2 linked regions of the Oreochromis niloticus genome follow. The protein of the gene in region 2 interacts with the protein of the main gene of each other region in a pairwise test. Links are inferred from orthologs where the notes say so. Each region holds a gene or a part of one and is shown on either strand. Other genes may lie near its edges.

Region 1 (3,754 bases), on a different chromosome or scaffold from region 2:
AAGCTTATAGTAGTGATTCAGTCCACATAGGCGAAACACTGTATGTAACCCCTGGAGTGAAACAGTGACACATGCAGTGATTCATGTGGGAAAGCCCAAGGTGTCCACTGCATCTCATTTTTACTACAATGAGACATAACAGTGCACTAGAGAGCCATTTCACGTCTTCTTAAGTTCACTTCTGATTTGACGGGGCAGATGGGAAATGTAAAATTATATTTTTAATGGAATAAACTTTATTAAATTTATTTCACAGAAGATTGTTTAAAAAAAAACAAACAAACATACAATTGGGGGGGGGGGAATAGTGGAAAAAAAAAAAAAGAGATGTGAGAACATCTCAAGATATAATGTGTTCCAGAATGGTAGATTTTTGTTCAGACTCTCATACAGACAAACATTTTACATATCGTGCCTATATACATTTGTGCAACAAGGTCTTGTACAAACACATCAACATGAGAAGTGATGTTAGATCATTGTTTCTGGTATCAAAAAGGAGGAATGCCAGCCTGTGTGCGTAAATTACGCACGTCCCCACATCCCCGTTATTCCCGACTTTCCGTCGGATATCCCGGCAGTCTCTTGCAACTTTGTTTATCTGGTGAGTCATTGTGTATTGCATTTGTCGAGCACATGTGAAACGCGGTCAGTTCCAGTAAGGGGGGAAGCAGCCAGCTGTAACAAGCCAGACATATTATCCAGAATTATGCGAGTGGAATTTTTGGGCCAGATTGGCTTCAGAATAAGAGCACTGGAATTTACAATACATATAAACCAGGAAATGAATAACTGCCTACAAAGGACATTCAGTGGAATCATGACATTAGAGCCAAACAAGTCTGATTAAAATGATACTGGTCTTGCAAAAACACGCGGGGGGAGGGGGGTCGTTTTCATATGTCTCCATAAACTAGCGAAGAGTTCATGTTCCAACCCTGTAATGGGAAACAGGCAGCCAGCGTGTGATTACAGGGAACCAGAGCAATGATACACACTGTCCAAAAGTCTTTTACCGTAATGTTGCGTGAGCCTGAGGAGGCTTTTCCACAGAATTGCACGGCAGAGGGTGTGGGGGTAAACAACATGCCTGTTCCCGGATTTATATCCTCGTATTTTTGAGATACCGCGTCTTCACGGCATTACACTGGCACACCTCAACTGTGTCTAAAGTCTCACTCAGACTATGTAAAAGCGTAACCTTATGAGATTTTGGTGTTTTAGATGTATCTCTACAATTACTACCGTGAACACAGCGAGGAAGAACGGGCTTTTGATTGCCCTGCGCTCCCAGTCAGAGCGCGCTTCCAGCTGGAGAAAATGTGGCATGTGCAGCCCGAGACCCGCCTGGTCGAATTAGACTCTGATTCCATGTGGAATAAAAACATGTGGACACTTAAACGGAACTTGGGTCAAATTCTGCAGCAACACATATGGAATATTGAAATCAGACATCTCACAGCCCAACACGAAATGCCTGTTGCATCCACCATGAGCTTCATCTCTAGCTAGTTTATCATTACCGCAGCATGAAAAGTGTAAAAAGCTCAGGTGTGCATTTGCTTTACACGCATTCGTCTCTGTGAGAAAATTGGCAAAAACCCCAGAAATGTTCCTGTTTTACAAACGCACAGTGAATTTGGCAGAAAGAAAGGGGAATTTAACATCTGTAAATCACAGACTCGGATTCATTCCAGTGTGCCAAATTTCCCTGCAACAGTGCACAAACCACCCTGTATGTCTTTTTTTTTTTTTTTTTTTTTTTTTTTTTAAATTGTTGGGATAAGACAATTGTACCATAAATTTACGCAAACTTGCGCATTGTCGCCAGCTGCGGTGCGCACTAATGGAGAAATTTAACATTAGATAAAATAATCAGTGTCTAAATATTTCAAAAGCAAAATTATTGTAATATTATCAGACTGCGCCTATGCACAGATTGACTACTGCCCCTGTTGAGTCACTGATACGAACCGTGTCACTGGGTTCATTCGGATTTGTGTCTCCAGGCGACCCGGAAAATTCCTGTTTAAATTCAGTTAATGGCTGGAAGTAGCAACACGATGGAATAATTTTCTAAAAATTGGACTTTGCACAAGAACGAACTGACACTTTCATGTTATCCAGAATGCATTCATTAATAGATTAATCTGCAGCCAGTCCTTTCCTTCTGTTACCTGGTAGCTTGAGGTAGAGATCGGACTTCCGATCGTGCTGCTGCCGCTTGTGAAGGACTCTGGCTGGGCCGGAGAGGTGCTGCTGCCGCGGGACGAGGTGTCGTAGTTCCCGGAGTAGTCCTGGTACATGATCCAGGAAAGAGGAAGATTTCAGTGCACTGTTTGAGCTCTGAGAGCCTTTTTTTTTTTAAATCCCCGATGCAAAAAAGGCACCAACAGGAAAAAAAAAATCCTCTGATTCGAGAAGTCGTTAATTTCCAAAGAAGGAGAAAAAAACAAAAGTGCAATTTTGCTCCTGTAAACTAACCTAAAACATTTTACTTATAATACAAATCGTTTTTTTTCTTGTGTATTATTCCTGCTTGTAGAGTCTATTTCTTGTTTTGTTTTTTTTTCCTGGAGCCGCAGGTAAACCTACACTACGCTGCTAAAGATCCTCTCAGGTGCGCAAACTTCAGCTTAAAGTCAGCAGCACACCTTCAGCAGTCAGATCCAGCAGCGACAATCAAACATGTAGTTAGAGTGACTCACACAGGTTAACATTCGCTTTAAAGCCTATTGCCTCTCTACTCTTCTCAATATTTTCCGTCGCCTTGCCAGCTACACTCCTCTGAGCTCTCTCTGCTGCTCACGGAACACTTCGAACTTTTTTTTTCTTTTCCTTTTTACCACACTTCCTAGAGATGACTCACTTCAATGGCACTATGAAGAACTGCAACGGCTTTTCAACACCAACGAAAGAGCCTACGTCACGCATGGGCGTTGCGACTTCAGCAGGGAGGGGTTGTCTCTCCAAAAGGCAGTGAAAAAGAAAAGATCCGTTATCACCATCCTGCGCCCTGCGGACAGCAGGGAGAAAACCGAAAAGCTGGGATTTGGTAAAAGTGGTCCAGAACATGTGTGGAGGGGTTTATTTTTTGTTACGGACGTCAGTGCTGCCGCGGAGTTCACTATTTGTCTGACTTGCTTGGGTCCATTGACGCATGTTTCCTAAAATGGGCAGTTGCGTCAGCGAGCGCGTGTGGGTTTCCTTGGTAAAGGAAGCGTCAGACACTGGAGGGATTCCCTCCCCTCGCGCGCTGTGGTCCGGACTCGGAGCTCAGAGCTCGCCGGTCCAGGTTCGGCCACCCAGCAGTGATGGAAAACCGACACATTAAAGCTTAGAAACTTAAAGCTAAAGCGACTTGCACGGACACGCGTGCACCCGCACACACCGGGAGCGAGTGCTGCGCAGTAAAATCATTTATTGAAAGTTTTTCAGCTTCAAAATGAAATCCATATCTGTAGCTGTGCACAGCCTGAAAATTCGATAAATCAAATAAAGACAGAGAGGAGGGGGTGTCATGGTGGGTGTAACTATTTCATGTCCACCAGTTTTCATTTGCTGCTCATAAACACACTCGGCGATTGGACACGCGGCGTTTCTGCACAATTAAACCTTTGTGCGCTTTGGCGCCGCCGCATTGTGCCTAATTTGGAGAGAGGTGGCACACAACACGGACGGTCAGATTAATGTGGCCCGCCGGTTAGTGCAGCACGGCGGCTTCAAAGGAATCTCGGTGAAATGTGGGCTAATT
Region 2 (3,754 bases):
GGCAGGATGAATCACTATGATAACAAGCTAAGCTGGAAGAAGCAGGGTTATCTCTAAGCAGGAAAACCCATCAGTTCATGCAGATGTCACTCGGGCCTGTATCACCTATTTAAACATTGTTACACACCGATACAGCCCATAATGACAATATTCACAGATGGCAAAGCTTCTTTGGACATGACAATACACCCTAATTACACAGCAAACATTGTTGAGGAAATGCCAAGGAGTTCAGGTGCTGACTTAGTCTTTAAAGCCCCTCTCATTGAAAATAAGCCTGGGGCCTGCCGACTTACAGACCGAGTCTGACAACTTTGTCGAAATGTATGGAAGCTTTGAACGGCCTAAACAATAATGTGTGTTGGAGCGGATTAGCCTGTTGCTCTTATGGTTTCGATTAGCTGAAAGCAACACAATTTTTAATGAACATTTAGGTTTGTATTGTTCAGAAAATGTCTCAGGCTTTTAATCATGTCTTTATAGTGAGAGCATTTTTGATTTGTCTAATTAGTAATGACAGGTCGTGTTCTTAAAGCAAAAACACTGAATTATTATAATAATATTAATTAGAGACACAATACGGATAAGTGAATGACAGTGATACTGTTTTTAGTTTTATGTTAACATTTACAGAAAAAATGAAGGGCACTCGAGAAAACAAACGAGACATTACATAACATAATCCCGATAACATCTAAAGAAAAGAAAATCATTGTCATTTTTAAGGCCATGACGTAATCATCGAAAAATGCTGAAATTAATTAATTTATTTATTTAAAAAAAAACGTTAGTGGTACATAATTATAAAGGATATTTAATAAAGCGGTTAAAGACACCTGAGAACATGTTCTGTATCTAGAAGACAAGTGAATGTGAAGTATGCTAACACCTATGTTGGTTTCAATGACCAAACGAAGGCTGCTGTGGATACCCTAACCCAGGGGTCGGCAACCCGCGGCTCCGGAGCCGCATGCGGCTCTTTAGTCCTTATAGTGCGGCTCCGCGTGGTTTGGGAAAATAAATTAGAAGTATTTCGCTGAAGTGTATTTTATTTATGTTAGTTCTTTTAAATTTGTAGTTCTAAATTGGAAGATTATTGTGATATTGAAATATAAATATAAAATTATATTCTATTATTTTTTCCTCACTCAATATAAGCGTCACACTCGCGGAAGCTGGTATTCCCGCCGAAACACCGTGCATTTATCGAGACTTTCAACCCCAGGTAGGCCAATTATGGATCTTCGGATCCACATTATGTCAGCAGCTCCACCGTGAACTATGTTAAAGACAAACACTGCTCACGCCTCACAGACCACAGATGACAGCTTACAGTCCTGTGTAAACGTGATTGCGGGTGCCGCTCAGGTGCGTCCGCCTCCCCTGCAGCGGCGCTGCAGACCACGCCCCCGCCGCACGCATTAACCAGGTAAAATACATATTTAGGCAGAATTTTGCAAATATCTATTTTTAATTTTTCAGCAGCATAGAGCTTTTTTACCAATTATTTTTTAAAAGTCAGGTCAAGGCTCCAACAGCCCAAAGGAGATATAAGGGAGGCGGCTCACAACAGTTTTTGTTTGCTACATGGATCATTTTAGTTCAGCTGGGTGTCTTTGCTTTTGTTATATTTCTTTAAGAGTTCAAAATGTGTTGATTACATAAATAAAATGTAATTTTCTCTGTAGCACTTCGTGGATTTCATAAGCAGCACACTTTACCTCACCTCACCTTACCTTGTTCACACAAAGGAAAAAAACAATATATACAGTGTTATCTTCATTTTAGATGTCAAAAAGTATTTGCGGCTCCCAGTGTTTTCTTTTGTGTGGAAACCGGGTCCAAGTGGCTCTTTGGGTGTAAAAGGTTGCAGACCCCTGCCCTAACCTATGTGATCACAGTTTACAGGTCGGTGCCACAGATGGATATAAAACCTGAGAAGCACAGGGAGGACACCAAAACACAGGAGTGACTGAAGCCCTGAAAACACCAGTGCTGCTCTGTGGCATTAGTCACTCTGCTGAATCTTGAGTGGAGTCGGCGTGATCATTTCATTAACAAGAAACCTGATTCCTAACATAACCGCTCTTCTTAGAAGAAATACTAACCTCTAGTTTATGGTTGAGCTGGAAGACAGTCTGGGTTTTATGACAGAGCTGAGCGAAACAGGAGCTGAGGCTGGTCATCTTCTGCCGACCCTCATACGTTATATCCACTTGATCTGGATCTATTTCTCCAAGCAACAGATCCACATCCACGAAAGCCTTATCAAATTCCTTCTCCAGCACTTCTAGCCATCGAAACATGGACATACTGGGGACAAGGCCCGAGTGCTGGCCCGATGGGGAGCATCCAGTCGAAGCAGACATGGTTAGAGCAAGGTAACGCTGATGTTAGCTTTGTGCTAACTTAAAAAACGATGACAAATTAATCTCTGCCAACACCGTTAAAATAACGCTGTAATGTGATGAACACTGTATTGGTCCGTAGACTTAAAATTCCCGAAAGCAATGCCTAACCAGGAAGTCCCACATCAGATTCACGATTTCATCCAAGCAGCCACTACGCAGAAAGCGGCGTACAGGAGAGCTACGGCTACTCCTTCCGCTACTGTGGAACTGTGCCCTGTGGGTGTTCTACGGGAACTGTCTGTCTACGTCGTACCGGAAATACGACATGTTTACGCAGAGCTTGTTCCTGTTCTTACTTTCACAATTAAAGTCTTCTAATGCGAGAAATTTTGTAAAAATAAATAAATAACATTATTTATGAACAATATAATTTTACTAATCTCGGGGCTTTCGTGACATTTGCAAGTGTAATGATTTACTGTGTAGTGTTCAAGTAACACGTGTTGTGTAGTTCTGGCTCACTAAGTAACTGATGAGGATGTGCACAAAAAGCATTATGCTGTATTGCTCGTAGGGATGGGAAGCTTCTGAAGCGCAGGTGTTAGAAAAACCAAGGCCAGTTTCGACAGGTGGCGTACACCGGGCACCAGGATTCACTAACCAACACCCTCTCTCTCAGTAATGTTTTTGTCGTGGATTGTGAAGCCCAATATGGATTATCCAAGCACTCAAACACTGGAATCTAAAGTGTAATCTGTGGCATAAACTCACTGCTGAATATCTCAATAAAAACCTCCTCTCTACTTTCAATGAGAAAATAAAACAGCAGGAATTTTCAGCTCTGAATCCCTTTCAACAGAAAACTTTATTTGCTGCAATAAGTTACTTTATTATCACTATAACACAGTACTCATATAACGCCATAAAGAATATATTTATACTGTTAAAAGAAATGTTAGAAAAACATCCATTAAATACAGGTGATCCCTTTTTCATTCCCACTGACGCTTCTGCTGTAATAATCTCATAAAGAGCAGGAGTAATGCAGTTTCACTATGACCCAGTAAAACATCATGCCAGTGTTATAAGATACAGCATCCACAGCAGTATAAAGTAAAGTTTCTTCATGGTTCAGAGGTTGCTCAGCAGAGGATGATTTAAAAATGTTCTGGTCAACCTGTGTGAAATGGTCTGTTATGATTGGTCAGAATTAGCCTATGAAAATGTGACAAATTTGACCTTTTTATAAATAAGGAATTCTGTCTTTTTTATTTAAATATTATAGATTTTAATTAATTGAAATTAAAACCTAGTGCAGTGCCAGTTTCTAGCACGAAGCTGACACGAACACCTGGAAAGCTTCAAAATCAATCAAAAACCAACCAAAAACAAAGCACACTGAT

What was found.
Region 1: the proteins of gopc (region 2) and fosl2 interact in a two-hybrid assay, tested with the Homo sapiens proteins (2 studies listed by BioGRID and IntAct). The two-hybrid records come from large-scale screens. The link is inferred for Oreochromis niloticus from reciprocal best matches to the Homo sapiens genes GOPC and FOSL2.

Annotation. Positions count from the first base shown.
Region 1 is NC_031983.2:23,201,926-23,205,679, forward strand, and holds the start of fosl2 (fos-related antigen 2), read right to left. Parts: upstream 2,986-3,754; 5' UTR 2,307-2,985; coding exon 2,178-2,306; intron 1-2,177.
Region 2 is NC_031980.2:28,204,128-28,207,881, reverse strand, and holds the start of gopc (Golgi-associated PDZ and coiled-coil motif-containing protein), read right to left. Parts: upstream 2,651-3,754; 5' UTR 2,370-2,650; coding exon 2,109-2,369; intron 1-2,108.